Oryzias latipes: one gene and its partners. The protein of the gene in region 1 purifies or fractionates together with the protein of each later gene. This does not show direct contact. Links are inferred from orthologs where the notes say so. Each region holds a gene or a part of one and is shown on either strand. Other genes may lie near its edges. The genes, in order: prpf4, snu13, tut1, sart3, cd2bp2, ddx23 and mepce.

Region 1 (3,500 bases):
TATAGATTTTAGGTCCAATACTTTTTAATTTATAAATGTTTCTTCTTGGGGACGTCATCTTGAGATATGGTATTGACTTTCACAGCTACGCTTATGACACACAGCTTTACATCGCTGTGTCTGCTTAAACCTATAAACATTCTTTTAACTGTTTCTTAGATATAAAGCCGTGGATGGCAGAAAACTTCCTACAGCTCAACCAGAACAAAAAATAAATTTTAATCAGGGGTTCTAAAGACAAGAGACTAATTTACCACATCTTTAAACCTTAGTGTGTGAGAAACCTGGGCGTACTTTTTGACTGAGCTGAGTTTTATCCCACACATTAAAAGTGTCGTTAAGACAGGATTTTACCGTCTCAAAAACATTGCCAGAATCCGCTTCGAGCTGTGCAAGAATAAGAAGCACATTTTAGAAATAAAGTGTGATTTGATTTGAAAGAAGAAAGGCTGCTCTGACTAACTTTTTACTGTCTGGGTGATGTTACGGATTACTTTTTTGAAGTAAGATGCAGCACTGCTCTACCTTCAACATGGACTCTTTGGATCCGGTATCTGTTCTGTCAAAGACACTTCAATGTTTTTCTTCAGAATCTGAACAACTTCTGCAGTCAGATTGGTGATGATCGGCCAATCAGCTTCTGCCACTTCAGCCCCGACTCCAAGATGTTGGCCACCGCGTCCTGGTAATGAACCCTACAGACTTGTTCTGAACGTCTGACCTGCTGCTCATTATGAAACTAACTCTGACCTGCTGACCCCACAGGAGTGGGCTGTGTAAGCTGTGGTCAGTCCCTGACTGCAACCTCATTCGTACACTTCGAGGTGGGTGGAGCTTCAACTTTTTTTTGATTTGATTTGAAATGGTTTATTTCAAGCAATCAAATAGAAATAATACACAACAACAATACAATCATCAGTTATACATTCATACAATAAGTAATCAAACTTGGGATAATTAGACATATTAATAAATATTGCTTGAAAGGGAGTGGAAGGAAGCGAACCTATATAATCCCACCCCTGTTCTTCCTTAACCATTTTATAACATGATTTATCAATATCCGGTTCATAACTTTTGTCAGACAGAATTTAAAAAAAAACAAATATCAATAAAGCACATGACAAAGATGAATTACTTAATTATTTTGTAAAAAATAACTTTTAGAAATCAACATGGCAATTAAGTATCCAAAATATATGCAGATTATCTTACCTATAAAAGTCATTGATATGATTAAAAAATAATACTATATCAGTAAAATGGACATAACACTGTTTCAGGAATTTACATAGCAAAATTTTGATCAAGTATCAAGTTAAAAATATGTCCAAAATTATGTTACATTAGGAAAAATCATGAATCAACTTATCAGTTTTTTGGAGCAAGTGAAGTAGTATCATTAAAAGTTAATCAATTTAACCATTTTCAATAATTGATTAATCATTTGTTTTATTATTTTTTATTTATTTTCTATAATAAAGTAATAACTTTCAGGCTGCTCTATGTGCACAGAAGCACAATTAACCTTTAACCTTTGTGAGAATTGTTGACGTCTAGGTTAAAAACTATAAATGTTTTTTATTTGATTTTCAGTGAAGGAGTCATTGCACCAATAAATCAATTGAACTTTTAACGCCCTGTTTTCCAATTGGTTAAAGGACACAACACCAATGTCGGTGCCATCGTCTTCCGCCCGCAGTCTGGAGTCTCTCTGGACCAATCAGATGTCAATTTGGCCTCATGTGCTGCTGATGGAACAGTCAAACTGTGGAACATGGAGAGGTGGTTTTTAGGAGATGATTGTGTCATGAAGAAGGGACGGAGGAGTTAAAGGCTTGCAAAACGTCTCAAATAAAACCGTCAACGTATTTTCTTTGTGTGGTTGCGGTAGTGATGAACCTGTGGCAGACATTGAGGGTCACAGCGATAGAGTGTCTCGAGTGGCCTGGCATCCATCTGGAAGATTTTTGGGAACAACCTGGTAGGTCACAGCAGTGAGTACTCTGCAGCTGTTTGCAGTACTCTGTTTTGATAGTGTTCTGTACACAGCTACGATAACTCGTGGCGTCTGTGGGACCTAGAGGTTCAGGAGGAGATCCTCCATCAGGAGGGTCACAGCAAAGGAGTCCACGACCTGAGCTTCCACCCTGATGGCTCGTTGGTAGCTACTGGGTGAGTTTGTGCACTTCGTAGTATACCAAAATAGTCCGATACTCCCAGCCAAGTTTATTGTTTACCATCAAAATACCAGAAACAGAATAATGCACACAAATACACACATTTAGAATCAGACTCAAAATCAGAATTACTTTATTGATCCCACTGTGACGGGGTTTTTATCAGCAGCGAAACATGAAATGTGAATGATTTGTCCCACAAAACTATAAACTGTTACTGGGCTGGGAGAAAAGAGAAAAAAAAGGCTACAGTAAATGAAAGCATTGTAAACATAAGATAAAAGATTAAAAAAAAGAATAATATAAAACAATGAAAAACAACATGAATGTAAACAATAATGTGGTATAATTAAAAAAGCTATTTACAGACATTGCAGGTAAAAAGATGTGCAACAAATGGGAGTCACATAAATCCCGTAATCCCTTTCATGTGTTTTCTTTCTCTTTGGTGTTCATTCAGAGGGTTGGATTCTTTTGGAAGGGTCTGGGACCTGAGGACAGGACGCTGTGTTGTCTTCCTTGAGGGACACCTGAAGGAGATCTACAGTCTGCACTTCTCTCCTAACGGGTCAGCCAGTTCAATTCAATTTTATTTCTATAGCCCAATATTTACAACAAGTCGTCTCAATTGGCTTCATATCGGTAATTGTGTAATGAATCATAAAGTGATAGAATTCAATAGCTGATTGCTAAACTAAACTAAACAGACTCAACTAAACTGGGTATCCCTGCCCGTAGACCCTCCTTCTCTGTAAAAAACTCAGCCAGCTGCATTTCAGATCCAGACAGAGAGCTGTTGACTGAAACTGTCAATATAGGATGAAAGAAGAAATGGTCCAATCGATGAAATGATCCTATAATTTATATCTACAGATAAAAAACATCATTAACCAGCCAACAGCATTGTTTCATGGTGTGTTTTCCTCTGTTAGGCATCATCTGGCAACAGGAAGTGGTGACAATACCTGTAAGGTTTGGGAACTGCGCAACAGGAAGTGTCTGTACACAGTCCCAGCCCACCAGAACCTGCTGTCCACTGTCCGCTTCCAACGTAACAAAATTTAGTCTTCCTGTCTCTTTTAAAAGGACACTACTTCTTGTGTAGCTTCAGTTTGTGTTTTTGTTTGCAGCCACAGACGGTCACTTTCTGTTGACTGGAGCTTATGACAACACAGCAAAGGTTTGGAGTCACCCCGGCTGGACACCGTTGAAGACCTTGGCAGGACATGAGGGGAAGGTATAAGCATTGATTGTGTCTATGCATTTAGACCTGATTGCTCCTGATATTACGATAGTGACACTGTTGATTTCATCAGGTGA
Region 2 (3,680 bases), on another chromosome or scaffold:
TTTACGGGACATTTTGCTCGTGTAAATAGGTTTATTTTCTTAACAAAAATATCTAATTTTGCGATAATTGAACAATTTCACAATTTCATCACGAAACACATCACACAACAATGAAAGGATGTTTCCATTCAGGAGAAGAAGTATTTAAAATTCAAATTCAACTTTATTTATGGAGCATTTTTCTTGTTACAAACACTTCAGAGTGATTTACATTAAATAAATAAATTGTAAACAAGAATAATAGCCCACACACATATTCAAACATGTAAAAACTACTTAAGAGCAAAGTGGAAAAGATGAGTTTTGAGGGTTTTTTCCTAAAAAAAAAAAACTCCACTGTCTGCTTGTGGTTAAGATGTGTGCCGTTTAAAATCAATTGTATTTTTTCTTAGCACCAGAAAGAAGAGCGTTATAATAATAATGATGCTGGTATATGAAAAGTGCTTTAGTATTAAAGTTTTACTCTGTTATTTGAAAAATAAAATAAAAAGAAGTAACTTATTTTTTTCAGAGCAAACACAACATTATCTGGATTCTACATAAATTGTGCTCTCAATTTTTAATTTATTTAACATAGGGATATCATCTGCAAGCCGAGGTGGCTCTTATAATCTTTCATTGTGGCTCTTTGGTTTTGAAGAAAAAATGCTAATGATAATACTAACATAAATAATGGATTTGTGGTTTTGGTTCATTTCTTTTAGTTGACAGTTGTGTTTTATAATTTTTTAAATTTAGAAAACTGAGCAAAATGATGCACATAAAGCAACAGTCCTTATTTCTGTTGATCAACAATGACTAGATGCTATTCAGAAGCAAAATTAAAGTATAGAATTGCAAACAGATGTTCAGGTTAAAAAAAAGTGGATTTTGCCCCAATGTTGTCATGTTTATATTCAATAGTAAAATGAGAAAACGAATTATGGGTGCATCTGTCTAGCAGTTTTAACTCTATTTGTAAACTCGGAATCTGTTTATCTGCTACAACCGATCTGTGTAGGGGGTATTTTATTTTGAAAGGAACTGCAGCTGCTGTCACAAGTAAAATAAGTTGAAATTCTTGTAAACTAGAAAACTATCACTTTCATTTAACTCATCATCATATTTTAATTATTGTAAATATTTAAAAGCTAAAACTGGTTAAATAACAGTTCAATGGTTAAAAGTATGACCTCAAGAGGGCGAACCATTTTTCTTTTACTGATGTGCATATTGCGCATGTGCAGACCTACACACGTGGGGTAAACGTTTGCACGAGCTGCAGCCTTTGGAAGGTTTTGAGACGCAATTTACCACTTTTGGCGTTCGCTATACTTATTTCGATCCCGTTAAAGGAATTAGTCCTCCGTGAAGCATTTCGCCGAGAGGGCCGGAATATCAAAGAAAATCAAAATGGTGAGTGTAGTTTGTCTTGAGCTAGCAAGCTAACGAAAGCCGCTAGCTATTAGCATCTGATAACAGCACGCGGGGTGCTGTAATCTGGCTATTCTAAATTTAAAGTAATTATTGTGTTTCATTATTATTATTATTTTTTGTCAACAGTCAGAACCTGAGGTTAACCCAAAGGCTTACCCGCTGGCCGACGCCACGTTGACCAAAACTATTTTGGATTTGGTGCAGCAAGCCTCCAACTACAAGCAGCTGAGGAAGGGGGCCAACGAAGGTAAGGGAATTAAAGGAGAAATATTTAGCTGATCGGTGTAATATTCTTGGGATTTATCGCAGTCTTTATCTGTATTAACGACAAAATTCGTGAAACATCATGATGAAACGAAATAAAATAAAGCGCTTAGTAGGCTTGATTCTCTCACTTCCGGTAAAAATCACCCAATATTTAAAGCCTATGATTAATGTACCTAAACCAGAAAGAGTAGATAGCGTGAAAGAGTTGAAGAAGAATCTGGTGTTTCAGCAGACATTTTTCACCAGAGCAAAAATCCTGAGGAGGCTTCTTACCTGTGAAAGCAACTTTTATTTTGGCAGGTTGACCCTCTTCACTCTAACCTCCAATGTGTTTCTAAAAAAAACCCATAAAGTCTGCTGTAAATTCAAAACAGCCCTCTAAGCTGGAGAATGCAGGGCTGCATCTCTGCTAAAACACTGATTCTAAAGTAAAATGAGTTAAATGACATTTTTTATAGCAAATTTCCATTTCTGTTTAGCTTTAAACTCCTTTTATTCATAACTGCTGTTCACAGCTGAAAACAAGTATAAAATATTTAATAAACTATTCAATAAAAAAACTGTTTTTGCACAAATATTTTTCAATAAGTCAAATGTTTAAGTGGAAATTAATCCATAGATGAATTGTTGTCACTTTTTTCCAATTGAAACAGAATTTCATTCGTATTTCTTTAATTCTTTCTACAAAATCGATCAGTAGGAGATATTAAGGTTGCATAACTGTGTTAAACAGGACTTTCTGGTTTAAAAAAAGCTTCAAATAAATGCATTTTATTCATAAACAGTCAATTTAAAGCTGAGGTAATAAAAAAAATGAACAAGCCAAATATTTGTAGGATCTAGATGAATCCAAGCGATTCTAGATGCTGTCCAGATATTTGAAAAACGCCATTTTGTCTTCGTTTTGCTTCATAGTTAAGCATCCTGATATAAAAAAAAATGTTTGTATGTCATCTTATATTCTGACACTTTATATCATCAAACCTTCCAAGGGTTTGGAGTAATATTATTATTGTTAATATTGTTTACATTTTCCTGTGTTCTGACAGCGAGGCGACTCTGCTCTCTCCTCCACAGCGACCAAAACCCTGAACAGAGGCATCGCGGAGTTCATTGTGATGGCTGCTGACGCTGAGCCGCTGGAGATCATCCTCCACCTGCCGCTGCTCTGCGAGGACAAGAACGTCCCGTACGTGTTTGTGCGCTCCAAGCAGGCGCTGGGCCGGGCCTGCGGCGTGTCGCGTCCCGTCATCGCCACCTCCGTCACTATAAAGGAAGGATCCCAGCTCAAGCCGCAGATCCAGTCGGTCCAAATGGCAATCGAGAGACTGCTGGTGTGATCTCTGTGCTCATTTTCTGTTCTCATTTGAGTTTATTTACTTTAACAAAATACTTTTAGGTGTTTATTTTTTATTTTTTTGGTGATCATAGCAGCTTTGCTTCTATCAGTGTCCAAAACCAACATCATTTCCTAATAAACATTTTTTATTAATGTAATTCCTGTGTTTTATTTTTTTTCCCTTTAAGAAGTGTTTACTTTATGCAGAAGTAGTGGAGACCAAGGAGACTTTAAATGGAAGACAGAAAAACATCATAGAAATTAAACATTTTTTTCCAAGCATCTCATCCAGTTAGAAATGTAATTTAAAACAAGTGTCTGAAACTGAAGGACTCTAGAAGATACGTCTCTACAATGTACAAAGTTAAATGTTTACCAAATAAATGAGTATTAAAGAATTAATTCAAAGTGTAATCCAGTAGTGCTTTGCAATACATTGTTTTCATTTTAAAAACAGAATTTTGGGTCTAAACAATTTTTTTCTTACAATTTATTTAAAAAACATTTAGAACGTTTTACCTTTATCTCATTTCTGAAATTGTCAGAAATAAGGTTATTTTTTTACATAAACTTTGTTCAGTGAACAGAATTTCATCTTTCAACACAGTAAAACTAAAGATGCGATTAATAAAATTACTAAAATTAAAATAATTTTAAA
Region 3 (4,087 bases), on another chromosome or scaffold:
ACCTGCAAAACCAAGGAGAGGAGGACGAAAAGCAAAACAAGACGCTGAAAGTGTGGCTGCTGCACCTTCTACTGAAGTACAAGAGCCTCTCCGTGTCTCCACAGACAAACCTGTGAGAGGAAGAAGAGGGAAACGGGTCCCAGAGGACGCCGTCACTGCTGAGAGCCTAGAGCTGGAGCCTGAACATCAGGAAACCACTGAAAAAGTCTGCAAATCCAGCAGAACAAAGAGAGAAAAGGCGGCCCAAAATGAGGTAGCAAAAGCCACCCCAGTTAAGAGAGCTCAGCGAGGAGCAGCTCCAGCAGGTGAGACAGCGGAACAACTCACTCTGTCTGTACCAGAACCGGCTCCAGGTGTCGCTGCCCCAAAAGCAAAGAGAGGAAGACGGGTGGCAGCAAAGCAATCACCTGAAGAGGTGAGCAGTGAGCAGACGAGCCCTGCTGAAGAAGAAGGCAAGCCTGTGGTGGAGGAATCAAAGAAGCCATCGCGGTTTGTCTCGTGGAAAGCAGATCTGGAGATCTGTGATATTCCAAAAGCACTTCCTGTAAAGGCTGCTCGTGGTAGGAAGTCAAAACTCAACGCTCACAATGAAAACAAAAATGTCTCTGATGCCGACGCGGCCAAAGGGGAGGAGCTCTCAGGGGACGCTGTCCAAACTGTGCCCGCCAAGAGAAGCAGGCGAGGAGTTCATGGCGGCGATGTGGCGGCGGCTTCCACAAGCAAGAGTGGTCTTAAAGAAAATGAACCTCAGCCAAAAACCCGACGAGGAAGAGCAGCTAAGAAATAACTGTCTTTGTTAGTGACAGTTATTATTCTCCCGTTTTTGTAATTGCAAAGTATTGTAGAATGTAGTTTTGGTGACTGAAAACAAAGCACTGCTTTATTTGCCCGTTCAGCAGGGACTTGTTTTTAATTCTTTTATCTTTTTTGTTTTTCTATCCTTTTTATGTCTGAGGGGAAAAAATATTTTACTGTTGAGCAGGGAGAGGGGTCTAATAAATTTTTGTACTTGATTGGAATTATTGGTGTGATTTCTTTATTGTTTTTATAGTTTGAAACTCCCCAAAAAGGGGTTAATATCAAGTGTATATTATATTATTTATTAGAAAAAGGCAAATCTTTTTATCTTCAATTTGGGAGATTTTTGACAGATAAAACAAATATTTTATGTGGTGTTAGAAAACATGAGATGTTTTCTATTTGTATTTATTATTTGTTGGAGAATTGAGAAAAACCTCAAGTTGATTTTCGCGTTTGCGGAACAGGAACGTTTACTGAAAAGATATACAAACCACCCGGACACATTTTGGAGACGGACCGAACGCAAGCCCAACGCTGGAGGGAGATTTAAGAGGCGCGTGCAAGCACGAAGGCGGTTCCAAACTATGTTAATGGTCCCAGGACCTGCATTTTAAAGTCCAGTTTTAGTTATTTTATTTAAGCATCATAATGTCGTCGGACGGCGATATAAAGACAACGCCGAGAGGCTTTCAGTGTGTTCTGTGCAACGTCAACCTACCTAATAGTGAGTTAACGAAGCTAAAGTGGGTTTTTTTCGTGGTGCCTAGTAGCTAGTAACACACGACAATTTTCTTTTTAAATAGTTACCCGAACAGTTGCTCAACCTGTGGAAAATTGTATGTATTTTTCACAAATTGAACGCTAATCATTTTGAAAATGCAATTTAAGTAACCTTAATAAAGTTCTTTTTCATATTTTATGGAGTTTACCTCGGCTACAGCATCAAGTCCCACATATTTTGGGGGGGGGGGGGGGGGTCGTATTTTAGTGCTGCACCGTAGTTTTATGCTCATGGTGGGCAAAACTTTCCTTCACCAACCTGCAACTGTTCATCCTCATTCATGGTGTTTGGCGTGGTTGAGATCAGAACTGCATGCATTTCTTACCCAGCAAATAATACTTTGATGGATGCTACTTTTCATACTCAGATAGGGAACGGAAATCATGAAGCCCTTAGTTAGAGTTCGTTTCACTGGAGCTAAGGGATCATGCACAGGTCCTAAAGTCAGCCCCACACCATGATAAGCCCTCCACCAAACATTGAACTGGATTCAATGTGATCAGCAGACAAAGTTCTCCTTGCAACCTCCAAACCAGAAACCGGGGAATCAAACTGGAATTAGCTGAAAGCAGCTCAGTCTTTCATACATTTTTGTATGAAACTCGCCTATGTTGATGATTTAAAACCCTCTGTTTATGAAAGTGGTTGGAAAAACCAAATTCAGTCATTTGGATGGGTGGTTAAGTCCTTTTGGCAATATAGTTTTTATTCTAAAAAAAAAAAATCAATAGAGCAATGGAAGAAACACCAGTATCAGTTGAAAACTACAGATACAAACAAGACAATGTTTAAAATCGAGCAGGAAGTAAATAATTGGTTTTTGACTCTTCCTGTTGAGTCTGCCTTTATATAAATAAGTGACGCAAACAAGAAGACGTCCAATCAAAAAGTCGGTTAACTTACAATGGGTTGAAGGTGAACCACAACGAGGGATGTGTGTGTGCACGCTAAACGTGTGATAACCTTTTGTTTCACCTAAAAGCATGGCGTCTGTCTGACCTGCAGTGTCCAGTGTGGATCAGCACGTAAAGGGGCGGAAGCACCAGACTCTGAGTTCTGTTCGAACCACCAGGAAAACCCACGAGGAGCGCAGCGTGTTTGTCAGCGGCATCAAGCCTGAAGTCTCTCAGTCTGACCTAACCGAGCACTTCCAGCAGTTCGGGCCGATCGCTGATGTCATCATGGATAAAGAAAAGGTCGAGGCGAACCACGGTTTGAATGGTCAGGGAGACTGTGAGAGTAATTTCTGTCTTACTGGCTTTGCAGGGAGTGTTTGCCATAGTGCAGTTTGCTGAGACTGAGAGCGCACACGCTGCTCTGACCTGTGTGGAGCATCTGATGAAAGGCCTGAAGCTCAGAGTTAAACCTCGAGAGAGGAAGGAGTTCAAGTTGATTCCAAAGAAGAGGAACGATGCTCAGAGCCTGGAACAAATGTTTGAGCGTCTCAAACCCGAGCTGTGTCAGCTGCCGTCCGTGAGAACCCGACACTTTACGACACTGGAAACACACCAAAGCAAACCTGACAAACATCTGCTTTTGAGGGTCAAACTGAAAGCTGCTTGTTCCCCGGCAGGTGGACGCTCAGATGCAGTACGTGGTGGAGCGGCTGCAGCTGGGAGAGAATGAAAAGAAGGCTCGCGAGTTGCTGGTTCAACTCCTGCAGGAAATCTTTGTTGAATTTTTCCCAGGTATTTCAAATCAAGTCAAACTTTATTTATAAAAAGCAGTTCTCTTGTGTTGTTCGGCTTTAGAATTAAAAACAAAAACATTACACATACGCCCCATGACCCCACACACAGGGAATAGGAATTAAACTGATGGTCTGACTCTGCTGGGAGGAAACAGGATATCGGGAATCTATTCGTACCAGGAGCCAGCTCAGCCATAGTAACATTGCCACAGTGCCCACCTACACCGGGACGGCAGCACGGGTCATTTAGTTTTTATGACATGAAGTACAGCAATTGTTCTACTTTTCTTTGCAGACAGTGAGATTTTGCCGTTTGGCTCTTCTGTCAACACTTTCGGAATCCACTCCTGTGATTTAGACCTTTTCCTGGACCTGGAGAACACAAAGACGTTCCAGGCCCGGGCCAAGTCCACCACAGAACAGGTTCGTCTGGGTTTGGTCCCGAAAGCCCTTCCGAGTGGATACGGGCGAAAGATGGCCAATTCTGTGCGGGGCGAGTTGAGAGAAAATGTTTGTGAAAGATCACAACACATTAACTCACAACACAACACATTAACTCACAACACAACGCAAGTGCATGCTCCTTGCACTAAGTGCATGCTCCTTGCACTAAGTGCATGCTCCTTGCACTAAGTGCATGCTCCTTGCGTGCACCCAGACTGTTAGAAATTAGGAAAATCCACCATCATCCACCGGGCGTCCTGCAGGCACATCACCTGCACGTGCTGCAATTGCGTGCTGTCAGTTAGGTTATGACTAGAGTGTTGCACAACTGCGTGCAACTTGCATGATTCTTACAAATACTTCACGTTACA
Region 4 (3,990 bases), on another chromosome or scaffold:
GGTCCAGGGGCAGTTCCTAACAGCCCGCTCATGAGTGGACAGAACCAAGTCTTTAACCTTCAGCTGGCGATCCTAAAAGATCAAAAATAAAAGACAAAAATCTAAGCAACACTTTTTTTTTAATTATGTTTTCATTTTTCTTTCTTAATTGGCCAATTTACTAAAATGCTAAATAAACAGAAACAGGCAGCTGAACTAAAACAAATACATAGCAAAAATTTCATTCTTTATAGACTGAACAATAATCAATACTCACAAGATACTTGGTGCATTTAGACCACATGTCTGGAACCAAGCAGTTCTCTGCCAGAGCTCTTTCAAAGGTAATCTGGATCCGTGCTGGGTCCCCCACCTTCAATTCAAAGTCAATGTAGGCCTGATATTCAGCCAGTTTAGGAGGTTCGGCCACCAGCTGCAGCAGACGGATGCAAGAAGATGTTAACAACTAGAAAAAAGTCGCTCAAGACAGATTCAAAACCAAATGTGTGCAGGTCAGCTACCAGAGCCTCTTCAAGGGGTTTGCACTTCTCCATCTGCTGCAACGCTTTTTTGTACTGATGCGCGACGGCCTCAGGCACTCCATGCTCAGACCACTCTTCATACTCTGCATAAGTAGCTTCCATGTCTACAAAAGCACACAAGTCCAAAGGTTTACAGATTAGAACTATTTTAATCTGGTGACATCTAAAAAAGGTACACTTAAATAGCAACACTGATTCAGATTTTGAATTTTATCTGGCTGCTTACCCATTAAGGGGATGGCCAGCTGACGGCGAAACAGTGTGTGAATTCTTTCAAGCTGGGTTTTTATCAGCTCCTGTTCCTCATTCCTGGGAACTTTGCCAGGGGGAGGCTGACAGAAGATTACAAAACAAAAAAAGATGAAATTTGGCCCAATCTGTCAAACACTATAGTTGTTTGTTTAAAGATGCAGACTTTTTTATCTTTAAGTAAAGCATCTTTGAAATTTAAACCCAGATTTTGAGTCTGAAGAGACAAAAAAAAAAGTAAACACAAACCTGCAATGTGGACAGAATGGCGTTCTCAAACTCTCTGTATGCCTCCCACACTGACTGTCCTTTTGTCATGTGAAGCCCCACAGCTGTCACTGCCCTCTCAAAGATGGATCTCACCTTGTCTATCCCACCTGGTGAGCCCATACCCCCAATTGAGTACTGGGCATATTCAAGCCAAATTTCTGGACCTGTGTTAAAAAAAACAAAAGACATTAAGGCAATCTAATAACTGAACATTGGATTAAAGGAAATGACAATAACATGGTGCACTGACAGATGTAGTCTTTGATGGCTCTTTCAAACAACTCATAGACTTTTTCTCTGTTTGACTCTTCTTCTGTCAGACGAATCTCATCTTTGAGCCAGTCCAGCCAGATTTCTGCAGAATTTGAAACAAAAAAGGAGGCGTTTACATATCTGTCACAAACAATGCAGTGCTAGTATTCTGTCTGTGCTGGAACTGCGTTAGACATAACCTAACCTTCAGTAAGAGGGAAAAGTTCGCTCATCTTCTGTCTTGCTTTTCGCAGACGGATAAGTTCTCCCTCTTGTTTCAGCAGTTTGATGAGATCCACGTGGCAGTTGTAGTCGAAGGCGTTGATAGACAGCTGAGGATGAGCACAGAAAAAAATATTATTTGGTAGCAATACATTATCAAAATATAAGGCAGCTTCTATAAGCTATGTAACCTTATTATTGCATAGTACTGTAAAGAGAAAAAAATAAAGCAAGACTCCAATAGCAAGCGGTCAAAACTTTGCTGTCAAATGTTTACCAATTAATTCCTCTTTATTGTGTATTAAAAGAAAAAAAAACACATGAGCCAAGTTCTCCTTATTATAAGCAAAAGGTCAAAGGTTATAAACCCAAAGACCGTCTTGGACACAGCTAAAGACAAAGTAAACACTACAAACTGTGCAGTCTAAGTAAGCAATCTTAAGTGGGTACAGATAAAGGAATCATTTAACCCTTTCCTTAGCACAATATAAACATTATTTTCACTATATACTAAACAGGACAAATGTACAGAATACAGTGCAGGCTACCCCTCAGTTTGTTCTTTAAAAGTCAAGAAGAGTAATGATGACAATATCCCGAAAGGATAAAAAGGCGCGATAACTGCTAGCTTAACCAGTTAGCAGGAATGAGCAGGATTGCCATATAAACATCGTAAACGTTTCATGTGTGATTCGCTAACAAAAATGATATTTATTTATTTGTCAAGAAGAGTTAACTATGCTGATGAGTGAGTCGTTTTATAACTGCTTCTTGGTATAGGCTTTGCGATTCATTCATTGATATTAGCACCTCGGCTAAAGCATGACTGCTTGATGATGTCAATACCTGTTCTTCCAACCGCTGGATTTCGGCTTCATTTTCTTTTTCGTCTTCCGAAGAATCGTCCTCTTCTTCGTCTGAGTTTTCGACACGCATGCCCTCTTCGTCCTCCTCTTCGTCTGAATCCATCTCCCTCTCTTCCACCTTTGCTCCGTCCTCCTCCATATCTTGCAACTGCGTTTGTTCTGCGTTAGCTGGCGCTGCCATGTTGGAAATACTGTCTGCCTGGCAACAGCAGCCTGAGCAGCCAATTCTTATTGAAAACCCGCCCCGTCCCAACGGTGAAAGACGTGCGCGTTCACGCTATGCTCGTGCCTCAAAATATTAGGATTACGGAGTGCGTGAGTGGACAAACTAACTTAAGAAACAATTTACAGTTGCGGTCATTGGGAGCAATTGGAACGGGGATAACTACAAAAATATGAGCGGGACAAAAGTGTGTCTCCATGCCAGTGACACTGACGGTGACTGGTTCAATAAAACACTGAGCCACATAAAAAAAGAAGCAAGTTTGGCAATTACCACTTCAACCGCTAGATGGAGCTTTTTCGACATGTTAACACGAAGTCCACCATGTTTATCAGCAAACAGCGTTCGGCACCTCTCGTGTTCACTCGGCATTCATCGTTCACAATCGGCAATGTGAACATGGCGATGATCAGTGTACGAAACTGTGCGTCCTTGCCTTCCTTGTTTTGCAGCAGGCTATTTAGACCGGAGTTAAAGTCACTTTGCTCATACCACAAAAAGGTAAAACATTGAATGCACAAATACACGGCTTTTATTTTAAACAAAGTTGCCAGTTTTGCGAAAACGGTAGTTGGTGTGGCTGAACTGAACAAGCTAATGCATGCGACATGCTATTTGTGTCTCTGTAACCTACCCCGTATTATATATATTTTTAATTTTTTTCGAAGGTGGTTGACCATTATGAAAACCCGAGAAACGTGGGATCTTTGGACAAAAACTCCAAAAGTGTGGGGACAGGTTTGGTAGGTGCACCAGCCTGTGGTGACGTAATGAAACTCCAGGTAAGCTTGAATTTGGCCAAACACGTTATATTTCAGATTTTTATACATTATTAATTTACTTTAATATTGATCCTAGATTCAAGTTGATGAAAATGGAAAAATAGTGGATGCAAAGTTTAAAACATTCGGCTGTGGGTCGGCTATAGCCTCCAGCTCCCTAGCAACAGAGTGGGTGAAGGGGAAGTCGGTGAGTTACGAAAAAAGGCTCCGAAAAGTTTGTTTGTTTTATCTAAGGATCATAATAACATACTTTTTAAAATCCTGTAGCTGGATGAAGCTATGAAGATTAAAAATTCAGACATTGCCAAAGAACTGTGCCTCCCTCCAGTCAAGCTTCATTGTTCCAGTAAGTTTGATTTTCCTATTCGAGCTGCCTGCCTTGTAGATGATACATTTAATGGTAGAATACACACAATTGCTGCATTGAAATCACATTACACAAAGTGTGACACAACTGATTGCCTGTTTTAGGATTTATTTGTATTAAAATTATTTTTTTGTGTGGACACTTGTTTTTGGACAACACAAAGGAGGAGAAAAAAGTACAACTTCCTGAGTTCTCCAAATCCACTAAATTAATTTCATATTTAACCCCATTTCAGCAA
Region 5 (3,948 bases), on another chromosome or scaffold:
TCGTCCACCCAGCCCTGGAAAACGAACAATAAGAAGATTAAAACCCCACCAGGTCCAACTGAGGGTCAGAGCTACTTTACAAGTCAATAATCTGGCAAACACGGTGGGATTTACTGCTATCTTTACAGAAAGAGAGCAGTTAAAATTCACTTAAAAAATAAATAAACTTTAAAAGGTAGACATAAAATGCTGCATTAAAGCTGCACAGATTTTATCATTTTTTGTAATAATGTCAATTATGACTTCACTTAAATATCATTTAAACATATTCTGTATCCTGATTTTATTCAAAACAATGTATAGGAGTAACAATAATTACACAATTCTTGTACATTAGGCGTCAAATGAACTATTAGCTGACAGATATAGACAAAGACACCACTTTCTAATTGTTTATATTAAAACACAAAAGGGAGATTAACAGTTTAATTTTGCACAAATCCCATAAGAATAATTCTTCATGTACAAATTTGAGGGGAATAACCTGCATCTGCTGGCTGGTGAAGGGGCCGTAGACCTCTGTGTTTTCCTTGTTGTCCCATTTGTACTCCCACATCACTTCATCCGTCACTAAAAGTTCAGAAAGATCGATCAAATAAGTTACATTGCATGTGACGACAACCGAAAATCTTCAAATGTTTCGCCAAATTACCTCTTTTGTCTTCCTCATCCTCTTTGTCTTCTGATTTTTCCTCAACTTTCTCATCAAATTTGTCGCCAAACATGTCGAGTTCATCCTCATCGTCACTACACCTGGTTCTCTGCCTGTCTGCTGGCTGCTTGCTCGTCATCCTCTTCATCAAAAATCCTAGTTTCTCATAAGTGTGCTGATAGATTTCAAACATCCCTGATCCAACCAGTCTGTCAGCGAGAGCTGTGAGCTTATCCAGCTTCTCGGCATCTCTTTTGTTCTCCTTTGTGGGTTCGTTCTCTTTCCTCAGCTTCCCCTTCTTCCCCCCAAGGCCTCCTAACCGACGGAGCGCCGTAGCAACCGTTTCTCCGGGTTCCAATAACTCAACAACAGCTTCAGTGAGCTGATGCTGCGTGTAGGATGCCAGGGGGTCCTCTACAGGTGTCTCCTCCTCCTCCTCCTCCTCTTCCTCTTCCTGATCACCCTTGTCTACTTGCTTTTCCTCCCTCCGCTTTTCCTCCTCAGCCTCATCCTCATCACCAGCTCTGCGCACCCGCTTGGCTCCCAGACCTTTCTTCTTCTTTTTGAAAGGCTGCTCTCTTATTTTTACCTGTAATAAAGGAAGATGTTTCATTCATTCTCTCTTGACTGAAAATACGCCATGTATGTGTTCCTAAAACTAGTTACCCAGTCTATGTTGTCTAGCCAGTTGTCTTTAATCTCTTTCTCCTTTTTGATGAAATAGTTTCCCTCTGAATCGAAGTGACCTTCCTCCATCTCCTCTTCTAGGTTAAAAGGTGTAATAGATACTCCCTCATCATAGTCGATAGTTGCTCCTTCTTGACCTGAAAACACATTTTCTGACATTAAAACAGCTTCCAGGGAAAGTTTACGAAAGCACTATTAGCATAAAGGACTACTTTGTGCAGGTAAACAGATATTAAACATCTTGGTTTAAAATTAAAGCACCCTCACTTATATTATTTTTCAAAACAAACAAAAAACAAGGCTTACCCTCCACATCATCGCTGGCTAGAATGTTGTATTTGCTGTGTTTTGATTCTCCTCCTTCGTCCTCTTCATCACTGTCTAGTGAATGTTTGCCCTTGAACCTGGAACCTGGTCCACTCACTGCCTCACAGCTCTGTTTCAACAAAACAAAGTCATAGGGATGGCACTTAGAAACAAAAGCGAAACAAATGTATTTATTTTGTGATCGATGCCCCCAAAAAAAGCATAACCTAAACAGTAAAACAAGGTCATGCTTCACCTAAAAATAGGTGTTTTTATTCTTTTACATTCTATCATTTCTCAGATAATAAAAAAATTACACAGGTCTGCCATATTTTGAATTAAACAAAGTGTCCACTTAAGCTAAAAATAATCTCAGTTCATAAGTTACTGGAAAAGATTTCAAATGACTAATAAAAGTTATAACTTATTAGTTATGCAAATGCCGTTTTAGAATATATCAAAATAAAGTAAACATCTTTAAAATAACTGTACTAATATTTCAATAGAATAGTGGAATGAAAATAGTGCATCAAATAAAGGCCAACAGCTCATCATGAGGAAAACACAGAAATGAATGACGCAGCACAAAACTAAAATAAAACACGCGGCACTTAATTAGTACCAATACGTAACAAATGATTACTTATATAGTTTATCCAGATCAAAATTCAGGAAATCAAAGGCTAAACTTTTTTAGCAAAACCCTGACAGATCCTCCGGCTTTACCTTCTTCGTGAGCCCGTCGTCTTCCAGTTCAAACTCTTCGTTCCCGTCCTGAAATGTCACTTTTCTCTTCGACATGGTGCTGGAGAAGACAACAGAGCACCACTTTTATCCACGCAACTACACACCCACAAGTGACTGTAATAACACGCACGTTATTAGCTTTGCAGCTAAGTGTTAGCAAACAACAACACGGAGAGCATGCAGAACAAGTAAACGCCTCGCCACCAACTGCGACTCGATATACGAAAGGCATTCAACATTATGTTGGTCAACATAATGTATAAACAAATAATAAGTATAAATGACACAATAGAACAGATAGGGAGAGCGTGGTAAAAAACCTGCATAAATTGTCAACGTTCGCTTTCGCTTCTTGTTTGACGGAAATCTAGATTTTATTGTTATTCAACAATGGCGGAATGACGCAACACCGCCACCATGTGGTGTGGAGGGTAACAGCTGTTATTTTCAAAGATAAAAGCGTTGAGGCTGGCTCAAAAATTACATTTTGTTTAGGATTCATTCATCTTTTGTTATCCGTTTTTTTTAGCAAACTGTCTTTATTTACCACACCCTTTTTGAAAAACTGCAGTTGTGAATAGTTAAAGCAGGAATAATTTTCTGTAAAACTGTTAATAAATCTAGAAATGAGAATTCAGAGAAACAATATTCGATTTCAGTTTTGCTCTTTCAGACGTCATTTTGAAAACTACACTTTGAATAGAGCTATGTTTCATTTTTGTAGATTTAATGCTTCTCCCTAAAAGCCATTAATGCTATTGAATTTATAACTAAGTCTTTTTATTTTATCATTTTTTAAAATAGCTCTTTTTTTATTTGTGATAGCACACAAACAAAATAATTATTATTAGATCTGCATTTTCAATCGTTTGCATTTTTAATCTTTTATTGTATTAGTTTTTAAAAGCACATAAGGAAAATGCACGGGATTTATGCACAATAGGAACCTTATTAGGAAAGCTGCTCAATTTAAAAAAAGATTTTGTTATTTTCCATGGCAACAAACACAAATCCTTACCAGGAGTTGAAATTATTCTATAAATATAGAATCAGAAGCTGATCTAATTATAGCTTTAAAAAAAGTGGAAAAAAAACCTAGATCAATAAAAGTGGTGCTGTTTTTGACAGGGAACTGAATCTTTTCAGTTATTTTCCATCTGCCCACAGCAGAGTCAGTCGCCTTAAAAGCAATCATAAGGAAATCACATCATAAAAGAAATAAAAGGAGAAATGATGGAGCCAAGGCAGTCAACTCCACCACAGCCACTAGAATCTCACTTCTTGACAGTGAAGCAGGTCGCGACTGCTCAGTTCCCAGGAGCTCCGGGCAGACTCAACAGAGAATATAACGTGTCAGGGTATTATTACCAGGAAGTGGGTTGAGTTATTTATATTTAAACGCTCGTCCTTCGGTGCCCATGAGGGAACCAGCTTTAGTAACTTAATGCTAAATATGAAAACATTGTCTGGGCTGGTCGAATCAACCTGACAGCAAACAACCGCCTTCATATTTAACAACAACAAAAATTAAAACATAATGTGTCGATCTGAATAAT
Region 6 (4,182 bases), on another chromosome or scaffold:
AATAGAGCTGTGACGGTGTGGGATTTTTCATCACTGCGGTGATGAAGCAGCAGGAATTGAGGTGTTGCGGTTTGCCCCTCACACACACACACACACACACACACACACACACAAAATCCCCAGGTGTCGCAAATGAATACCGGTACATGTAATAATTACATCACACGATTCTTTATTAACAAATAACAGTAACTACTAACTAATGAACTAACTATATAGGTGTTGTAGAATGAGTATGTGTGTGTGTCAGCGCGTTGCGTGTGTAAGAGGAAGGAGCGTGAGCAGAGCACGAGTGAGTGAGAGAGCGCTCCCTCTGGCGCTGCACGAATTCTCCCCTTTTTCTTACACACACACGTGGTTTCAGCACATACACATCCTCATTCTGCAGCACGTTTCAATATGGGCACATGCAGGTGCGGCTTATGTATGTACAAAATAGTTTAACCTTTAAAAATGTAATGTGTGCGGCTTATAATCAGGTATGCTCTATAGTTCGGAAATCACGGTACATTCAGCCTTTCTTGTCCAGTCGTTACATTTTTATAGAACTGTTAAAATGATTGACTCTTCTATAGGAACGTTACCTGGGCGGCATCAAAAAACGGCGGAGAACTCGCCACCTCAATGACAGGAAGTTTGTGTTTGAGTGGGACGCTTCAGAAGACACATCCGTGGACTACAATCCCATGTGAGTCTGCAAACCCCCTCCTGTCTCATTCGTTTAGTTTTTAATTTCCATGGCTGTAAAAAAAAATATATATATTTTTTTCCTTTTAGATATAAAGAGAAGCATCAGGTGCAGCTGTATGGGCGTGGCTTCATAGCCGGCATCGACTTGAAGCAGCAGAAACGAGACCAGTCTCGTTTCTATGGCGACCTGATGGAAAAGAGAAGAACTCTGGAGGAGAAGGAGCAGGAAGAGTGAGATAACCATGACACCGTCTGTACTTAAAAAAACTAACCCGAAGAAAAAGAAAGTTACTTGGTGAATAATTAAAATCCTTGATTTTCCTCTCCCTCAGGACAAGGTTGAAGAAGGTGCGCAAGAAGGAGGCCAAGCAGCGCTGGGATGACAGGCACTGGTCTCAGAAGAAGCTGGACGAGATGACGGACAGAGACTGGCGTATCTTCAGAGAGGATTACAGCATCACCACCAAGGGAGGAAAGATCCCCAACCCCATCAGGAACTGGAAGGAGTATGCGCTGCCCGCACACATCCTGGAGGTCATCGACAAATGCGGCTACAAGGTGGGATTATGAGGGCGCCGTCTGTCCTGCCCGAAACCACGGCCTTTGGGGAAAATGTTGATTAAAATCGTGTCCAATTTTTTTATTTTTTAGGAACCAACTCCAATTCAGAGGCAGGCCATTCCTATTGGCTTACAAAACCGTGACATCATCGGTGTGGCTGAGACCGGTAGCGGTAAAACGGCTGCCTTCCTCATTCCACTGCTGGTCTGGATCACCACTCTGCCCAAAATTGACAGGTAAACCTTGAGAAGTGGAACGAACTCGTAAATGTCAACATTTTTGCCCTCTTTTGCCCCTGATTTTCGGTTTTGTCATCTGCCTCTGTCTGTTCTGCCCCTCTGCTCTCCGCATGGCAGGATCGAAGACTCCGATCAAGGTCCTTACGCTGTGATCTTGGCTCCAACTCGTGAGCTGGCCCAGCAGATTGAAGAGGAGACCATCAAGTTTGGAAAACCTCTCGGTATTCGGACGGTGGCGGTGATTGGAGGAATCTCTCGAGAGGACCAAGGATTCAAACTCCGGATGGGCTGTGAGGTATTTGGAAGAGGATTGATTGGAGAAACCGTTGACAGCTAGAATTAAAAGCGAAGCATCGATGTGGTGAAAATTGTCCGTCTTTGCTGAACAGATTGTGATTGCCACTCCCGGCCGTCTGATCGATGTTTTGGAGAACCGCTACCTGGTCCTGGGCCGCTGCACCTACGTGGTTCTGGATGAGGCAGATCGCATGATTGACATGGGCTTTGAGCCCGATGTCCAAAAGATTCTGGAGTACATCCCAGTGACCAATCAGAAACCAGACACTGACGAAGCAGAAGACCCTGAGAAAATGACCATGAACTTTGAATCTGGGAAGCATAAATACAGACAGGTATGCCCGTGTCTCCGCTGTGCTCTGCTCCAGCTGGCATCTTCAGCTCAATCAGCTGTCTTTGTTGATCCCTGCAGACCGTCATGTTCACTGCTACCATGCCTCCTGCTGTGGAGAGGCTGGCCAGGAGCTACCTGAGGCGGGCTGCTGTGGTGTACATCGGTTCTGCTGGAAAACCTCACGAGAGGGTGGAGCAGAAGGTCATGCTGATGTCAGAGGGAGAGAAGAGGTGAGAGCTGGCGCCGACTGTAGAAACGAACATCCTCTTCTCATGGGGTTGCTGAGCGTGTTTGTGTCCCGTCCGTGCAGGAAGAAGATGCTGGAGGTTTTGGCCAGTGGCTTCGAGCCTCCCATCATCATCTTCGTCAACCAGAAGAAGGGTTGCGATGTGTTGGCCAAGTCCCTGGAGAAGATGGGGGTACGTTACCGCACTCAGACCAGCATCAGTTACTGGGTTGATTCTTGGTTTTGTCCTATATATTTTCCCAGAAATTTGCATAAAACCAGTGTGCAGCAATGGTCACTGGCAAGTATTGACCACAATGCATTGTGTTTGAATGTTTTTTTTTTGGGTGTGTTTTATTTTTAATAAACCATCCAAATTTTAATCAGCAACAAGGCAGATTTGAAAATAGTTTTTGTAAAATCTTGTTTATTAGGATTTTTTTTGGGAAAACTGTGACATCGTTCATAAAAATCCTAGTTTTAAAGCCTTGTGCTTTTGTAACTTTGGTGTTTATCATCTTCAGTTATTCGACTTAGGTTATTCTTGGTATTGTTTTTGGGCTGATGACCATCTTTATCTTTTTAGTACAATGCTTGCACGCTGCACGGTGGCAAAGGTCAGGAGCAGAGAGAGTTTGCGCTCTCCAACCTTAAGGCTGGAGCCAAAGATATCTTGGTGGCCACAGATGTTGCTGGTCGTGGTATCGACATTCACGACGTGTCCATGGTCATCAACTACGACATGGCGAAGAACATTGAAGGTAAATGTTTTTTCCCTTGGCTGTTTTATCATTGTTTTTTCAAGAATAACTCACCGTTCTCCTGCCTTTTATAGATTACATCCATCGTATTGGTCGTACCGGTCGTGCTGGTAAGAGCGGCGTGGCCATGACTTTCCTCACCAAAGAGGACTCTGCTGTCTTCTATGACTTGAAGCAGGCCATCCTGGAGAGTCCCGTCTCCAACTGCCCGCCGGAGCTGGCCAACCACCCAGACGCTCAGCACAAACCTGGAACCATCCTGACCAAGAAAAGGCGCGAGGAGACCATCTTTGCTTGATTATTATCTTTTTATGTCAAATGTTATTATAAAAAATAAAAGAAGGAGAAAAAAAAGCCCACTTCAGACCTCTGGGTCATGTCATCCCGGTTTGCATTCAGGATTTTGTGATCAGGTTAGTTATTTACCAGTTTTTTTTCCCCACCTTATTTTTTGTCTCATCAGTGAGCAGGACTCTGATCTACATTGTATACATGTGAAAAATAGCAGTTAGATGTTATGAAAATGAAAATTGACATTTTTTTTTTTTTTTTTAAATAAATGTCTTTCTCCAGACACATGTCTGAATGAATGTTTAAGAAACCTGAGTAGCAGCCCTGGACTAAAGACCCTTGAGCTAATTTATATAAAAACATTTGTATTAGTGATGGCTGCTTCTTTAAACCACAGCTACTTAAAAGAACATCAATGATGTATATGGATACAGAAATAATGGGATTTTTACTTCCTAATGGAAACTTGTTTAAATGTTGGTGGAAAAACACCAAAGTTATAATAAAAAATGTAACAAACTTTCATAGGGCCTTTAAGATGTCAGCACCTAAAACTAAAATGAATCACTGCTAATGAGTCACCTGATCCATACTTTCTTTTCTCACCAAATGAAAAACTAGCATTCATGACTAATGCAATTTAAATGGTAGCATCTACTGAACATTGACTTCAGCTGTTTGCATATTTATTATTAAATTAAGGAATAATTTCAACCATCCTATAAAGATTTTTGTTTGACAGTTAACAAATGTTAGCATGCATAACATGCTGTGCACATAAAG
Region 7 (4,045 bases), on another chromosome or scaffold:
CTGTAAGACAGAAAATCACATGGCTTGATCTATAAACAGTTGAGAGTGATGATTTTCAATCAAAATACAGGGAGAGCTTTGTGTAGCAAATGCAAAAAAAAGGGTTTGGAAGAAAAAAAAACAAGTTATTCAAAGCAAATATTTAATGTTTTCATTTGCTACTTAGAAAGTTGTGCTTGTGTTAGCATGAATATCACTTCATGCGTGGTAAAATGAAAAATTAATTGTGGTCATTTAATTTAGAAATAGCTGTTACATCAGCTAAATGTCAAATTTGAGACACTTTTTAAAAATGTGTTAAAATGTCTTTTGGCTTCAAACTAAGCATTTCAGGCTGCTAACTGTAATGAATTTGCTTGAAAGTGTTGAAATTTGCTGCCGTAAAAGAAAGCTGTTATAAATCAAGAAATAGCCCTTTACAAAAAGAAAACAAATGTAATATAAAATGATGAGAAAGTTCATAACTCCTAAATTCACTTTATTTTCCCAAGTTAGATAGTTACAAATATTACAGGAAACTATTGTACTTTCACAGCTTTGTATCAGACAGCATCTCACAACTGTTTGGCCAATTTCTTATAAGCAGCGATCATGCATTAATGTAAAAGGTTACATCAATCTGAAATTCTGCTAAGAATCTTCCTTTCAAGAAAATCCAAAGTAAAGTTGTGAGCAGGTTACTGAGGAGGCCACTTGTGGATCTGTTCCATGACTTAGAATTAAGCAAAGGTTATTCATTTGACTGCTGCTGCAAAAGATTAAACAAATCTAAACACACACTGTTGAGGTGTTTGACAGTCAGTATTATTTTATACTCTCGTTCAATTACAGATCTGAAATTAAATCTATTACTATTAGAAATTTTGCTTTTTCCAAACTTTTAAGCACTTTATCACATTATTTCACTTAAAGGACGGACAGACAGACAGACAGAAGATAATTAATGGTATTGCTATAATTTTTTTCTCTTGACAATAAGATTTATTTTATGCTTTAAAAAGTGCTACTAATATACTGAAGATGAGAGATTACTGTTAAAATGATGGATGAAGGATGAGGTGGTGGGAGGGTGGTCAGGGCCGCAGAATTGCTCAATGTGGACCTACTTTGTGTTGTTGGGCATCTGTGCCTTTATAGTCCCGTTTTTAGACCAAAACAATGGCCAAGTTTGTTCATTAAAATGTGTTTGCTGACTGTCATTAAAAGTTCCACTCGCTCGCGGCCTCTTCTGGGATTAGGGGTCTGAATCTAATGGCAAAGAGTTCCCACTACCTTGCGCGAGCTCACAGATCTCCGCCCCGGTCACGTTAAGCTTACAACTCGAAGCCCGGATGCGCCGCCATGCCGACTCTCGTCAGCGAATGCTGTCATTTATTCACCAAACTGTCCGCCTGGAGTTGACCGAACAAGTCGACAAGGCAGTGGGGGAAACAAGAGAGACCTAGTGGGGTACAGGCCGTGCTTTGCGTGTAAACCGTGAGCGCCGTTGGGCTCGGAGACACTGGGGTGCTAGCTAGGCTAACGTTAGCTTGAGTGGAAGCAGAGCGGGGTGGAGACGGCCCGGCCGGAGGCGGGGAGAGCACCACCGCGGGGTGACACTGGGATCCTGACGGTGACCACACTGTTCGGCGGCCATCTGGGACATAGTATCACTTTCCCGTACCGGACTTGGGATTTGTTTGTTTATTTTTGTTCTGGATTCACCCGTCAGCGCATGAAGGTGGGTACTTGGTCGTTTATTTATCACCACTGTTGCTCCAGAGCTAAACGTTTAGGCGACGTTTTCAGAGCTCTGGCCCACGATGGAGGAGCTAAGGGCTAGCATGCTAACCCAAACTACTGTTCCAGACTCTGACTCAGAAACTTCTCAGGTCAGCAACCTCCGAGTGGACACGCTTCAGATGTCAGCCTGTCAGGAGGGCAATGCTAACGAAAAATCTGCCGCGGACCGTAGGACCTTTAAAATTAATATAATAAAATGCAACACTCAGCTAAAAACAAAGTAATTTATTTACTATTAAGAAAATTATATGTTTTATATATTCAATATGCCCGGATTCTCCTTTATGATTTTATTTGCTGTTCGTTTTGTCCATCTTATTACTTTCCTGACTTAATTATGGAGGCCAGAATCTGCACACTGACTCCCCAGATGACTTTTAATGCATGCAACCATAAAGAACAGATTGAAGTTTCCTTAAAACAATGTCGATGAATCTCAAATCAATTCTTTTTTTTTTTATCAATCATAGATAATGCAGTTTGCATGATTTTAAAATAAGGCTAAAACCGAAAACACTGAAAATCCAAATATTTTGTTTGGATTTTTTTGCAAATGACATCATCATGACAATATCCTACAGTTTTATAAAACCACTTTCTGAGAACTTCAAACTTTAGTTTTGGTAACATCCAAATCTATTTTTTTAATGTAAAGCTGATAATGAATTATGAAGTTGCAGAAATGTTTATCCAGGAAGTTGTAGATATACAAATATAGGATTGTCATCTTTTTTTTTTTTTTTTTTAAAAGTTAACTCTTCAATTGAAAACAACAACAAAAGCATTAACCTTTCTTTTAGGCTCTAAACAGTAGGAATAGTGGAAGAACAAACATGTTTCTTCTACACAGGCACAAAAACAATAGCAACAACAATAGCAACGTCACATCTTAAAGGTGTATTTTTGGTTTTGGAGAATATGATGACCTTCTGTCCCTTCTCTGTTAGTTTAAGTTTGAATGTAGTTTTGTTAGGAAGTGCATGAGGAATATTTGTGCCTTCTAATCAGGTGGCACAAATGCTATAAACCTTATGTATCTCTGATAAGGTAGAGCAGCAGAGACGGGTGGAACCTCCCTCTATATGCTACCATGAACCAAGCAGGAACAGTGTGGTTAAAAAAGAAAGATGTTTTGTCTGTACTAGCATTTTTGACCAAAGCATGTTGCAGATGACATCCCAAATTATGATTTTACTTATTTAAAGTCTATTTTAAAAAGTGTTCTCAGTGGTCTTTTAATTAAAATTTTGTCGTTTTTAGTCCAAAAAAAAACAACCTATATCATTATCTAGGATGAATAAATTTGTTGCTTGTCGTTGTAGGTTTCACATCACAGCTTCAAGCTTTTTCCAATGGCATTTTTCATCTGCCCCTGATTTGGAACAACTGGAATAAAGGAACACTCAGAAACAAAATTTTTAGCTATATTGTCTTTATACTTGTCCTCCATTGTTAGAAAAACGCCACAAAAACTTTCATCAGATTAGGTATTTAAAGTTTTTGTTGGCAAAAACATCAATTATCATTGTCTTTTTTTTTTGCATTCTTTGTAATGCAATTAAACAAAAATCTACCTATCGGTTGTTTTGGCACTTTTTTGGAACTTAATTTAATGTTTACGGTGTTTTATTCAAGGGATTATAAGAGATCAGATGGTCCTTTAACAGCTGTATTCTTCCTTGTTTTCAGACAAAGGACAAACAAGTTTCAATGAACAGTTCTGGAAACTAACAGAGATGTCTGTCGAGGAGGACGCCATAAAAACTGGCAGTTTAGAGGCCAGGTCAACGCCATCTCTGCAGCTCTCAGACTGTACTGGAGGTTACAGCAGTGTGTCCGTGATGATGGAGGAAAATGCAGCCACGCATGACTTTGCAGCTGCCTGTCCTGTCCCGGGCACTGCAGCCTCACCAAAGCACACGAGCACAGACAGCGCGGGACAAAAAGCCAGAGGGAGCGAGAACAGCATCAATCGCAGGAACAGCTTCCCTCACTCCAAACAACAGCAACAGCAAACGAAATTAACCAAGCGGCGCTACACAGCCAGTTCTAACTTCAAACATCCCACATCGAGCAAGAGGAGACGAAGAGCCATCTCCGAGAGTGACTCTGTCCTGCCCACCAACTTTCTCTTGGGTGGCAACATTTTTGACCCGCTTAATCTGAACAGCCTCCTGGATGAGGAGGTCAACAGGGCACTTAACGCAGAGACACCAAAATCCTCTCCACTTCCTGCAAAGAGTCGAGATCCAGTGGAGATCCT

The links.
Region 2: the proteins of prpf4 (region 1) and snu13 purify together in Homo sapiens (affinity purification with mass spectrometry; 4 studies listed by BioGRID and IntAct, counting the BioPlex papers as one, with this or other methods). This does not show direct contact. The link is inferred for Oryzias latipes from reciprocal best matches to the Homo sapiens genes PRPF4 and SNU13.
Region 3: the proteins of prpf4 (region 1) and tut1 purify together in Homo sapiens (co-immunoprecipitation; 3 studies listed by BioGRID and IntAct, counting the BioPlex papers as one, with this or other methods). This does not show direct contact. The link is inferred for Oryzias latipes from reciprocal best matches to the Homo sapiens genes PRPF4 and TUT1.
Region 4: the proteins of prpf4 (region 1) and sart3 purify together in Homo sapiens (affinity purification with mass spectrometry; 5 studies listed by BioGRID and IntAct, counting the BioPlex papers as one, with this or other methods). This does not show direct contact. The link is inferred for Oryzias latipes from reciprocal best matches to the Homo sapiens genes PRPF4 and SART3.
Region 5: the proteins of prpf4 (region 1) and cd2bp2 purify together in Homo sapiens (affinity purification with mass spectrometry; 3 studies listed by BioGRID and IntAct, with this or other methods). This does not show direct contact. The link is inferred for Oryzias latipes from reciprocal best matches to the Homo sapiens genes PRPF4 and CD2BP2.
Region 6: the proteins of prpf4 (region 1) and ddx23 purify together in Homo sapiens (affinity purification with mass spectrometry; 4 studies listed by BioGRID and IntAct, counting the BioPlex papers as one, with this or other methods). This does not show direct contact. The link is inferred for Oryzias latipes from reciprocal best matches to the Homo sapiens genes PRPF4 and DDX23.
Region 7: the proteins of prpf4 (region 1) and mepce purify together in Homo sapiens (affinity purification with mass spectrometry; 4 studies listed by BioGRID and IntAct, with this or other methods). This does not show direct contact. The link is inferred for Oryzias latipes from reciprocal best matches to the Homo sapiens genes PRPF4 and MEPCE.

The regions. Positions count from the first base shown.
Region 1 is NC_019870.2:25,895-29,394, forward strand, and holds part of prpf4 (U4/U6 small nuclear ribonucleoprotein Prp4), read left to right. Parts: intron 1-590; coding exon 591-685; intron 686-765; coding exon 766-824; intron 825-1,661; coding exon 1,662-1,785; intron 1,786-1,894; coding exon 1,895-1,984; intron 1,985-2,052; coding exon 2,053-2,175; intron 2,176-2,640; coding exon 2,641-2,748; intron 2,749-3,112; coding exon 3,113-3,231; intron 3,232-3,310; coding exon 3,311-3,417; intron 3,418-3,496; coding exon 3,497-3,500. UniProt on the Homo sapiens protein: Plays a role in pre-mRNA splicing as component of the U4/U6-U5 tri-snRNP complex that is involved in spliceosome assembly, and as component of the precatalytic spliceosome (spliceosome B complex).
Region 2 is NC_019877.2:3,754,733-3,758,412, reverse strand, and holds snu13 (NHP2-like protein 1), read left to right. Parts: upstream 1-1,194; 5' UTR 1,195-1,392; coding exon 1,393-1,395; intron 1,396-1,542; coding exon 1,543-1,663; intron 1,664-2,760; coding exon 2,761-3,023; 3' UTR 3,024-3,180; downstream 3,181-3,680.
Region 3 is NC_019877.2:4,404,446-4,408,532, reverse strand, and holds the start of tut1 (speckle targeted PIP5K1A-regulated poly(A) polymerase), read left to right. Parts: upstream 1-1,287; 5' UTR 1,288-1,449; coding exon 1,450-1,525; intron 1,526-2,587; coding exon 2,588-2,778; intron 2,779-2,848; coding exon 2,849-3,055; intron 3,056-3,155; coding exon 3,156-3,270; intron 3,271-3,567; coding exon 3,568-3,695; intron 3,696-4,087. Other genes in the region: proliferation marker protein Ki-67, read left to right, coding at 1-787. UniProt on the Homo sapiens protein: Poly(A) polymerase that creates the 3'-poly(A) tail of specific pre-mRNAs. Localizes to nuclear speckles together with PIP5K1A and mediates polyadenylation of a select set of mRNAs, such as HMOX1.
Region 4 is NC_019867.2:12,885,934-12,889,923, forward strand, and holds the start of sart3 (squamous cell carcinoma antigen recognized by T-cells 3), read right to left. Parts: upstream 2,801-3,990; 5' UTR 2,562-2,800; coding exon 2,361-2,561; intron 1,625-2,360; coding exon 1,498-1,624; intron 1,396-1,497; coding exon 1,291-1,395; intron 1,205-1,290; coding exon 1,020-1,204; intron 854-1,019; coding exon 748-853; intron 626-747; coding exon 501-625; intron 413-500; coding exon 257-412; intron 73-256; coding exon 1-72. Other genes in the region: iscu (iron-sulfur cluster assembly enzyme ISCU, mitochondrial), read left to right, coding at 3,003-3,104, 3,272-3,385, 3,462-3,572, 3,653-3,731. UniProt on the Homo sapiens protein: U6 snRNP-binding protein that functions as a recycling factor of the splicing machinery. Promotes the initial reassembly of U4 and U6 snRNPs following their ejection from the spliceosome during its maturation.
Region 5 is NC_019866.2:3,948,470-3,952,417, forward strand, and holds the start of cd2bp2 (CD2 antigen cytoplasmic tail-binding protein 2), read right to left. Parts: upstream 2,801-3,948; 5' UTR 2,713-2,800; exon of another isoform or gene 2,451-2,712; 5' UTR 2,447-2,450; coding exon 2,372-2,446; intron 1,776-2,371; coding exon 1,646-1,775; intron 1,477-1,645; coding exon 1,319-1,476; intron 1,242-1,318; coding exon 653-1,241; intron 571-652; coding exon 485-570; intron 15-484; coding exon 1-14. UniProt on the Homo sapiens protein: Involved in pre-mRNA splicing as component of the U5 snRNP complex that is involved in spliceosome assembly.
Region 6 is NC_019865.2:19,110,139-19,114,320, forward strand, and holds the end of ddx23 (probable ATP-dependent RNA helicase DDX23), read left to right. Parts: intron 1-575; coding exon 576-688; intron 689-777; coding exon 778-921; intron 922-1,022; coding exon 1,023-1,248; intron 1,249-1,341; coding exon 1,342-1,487; intron 1,488-1,607; coding exon 1,608-1,785; intron 1,786-1,879; coding exon 1,880-2,122; intron 2,123-2,199; coding exon 2,200-2,351; intron 2,352-2,431; coding exon 2,432-2,540; intron 2,541-2,933; coding exon 2,934-3,108; intron 3,109-3,182; coding exon 3,183-3,406; 3' UTR 3,407-3,682; downstream 3,683-4,182. UniProt on the Homo sapiens protein: Involved in pre-mRNA splicing and its phosphorylated form (by SRPK2) is required for spliceosomal B complex formation.
Region 7 is NC_019872.2:14,592,797-14,596,841, reverse strand, and holds the start of mepce (7SK snRNA methylphosphate capping enzyme), read left to right. Parts: upstream 1-1,245; 5' UTR 1,246-1,720; intron 1,721-3,471; 5' UTR 3,472-3,518; coding exon 3,519-4,045. UniProt on the Homo sapiens protein: S-adenosyl-L-methionine-dependent methyltransferase that adds a methylphosphate cap at the 5'-end of 7SK snRNA (7SK RNA), leading to stabilize it.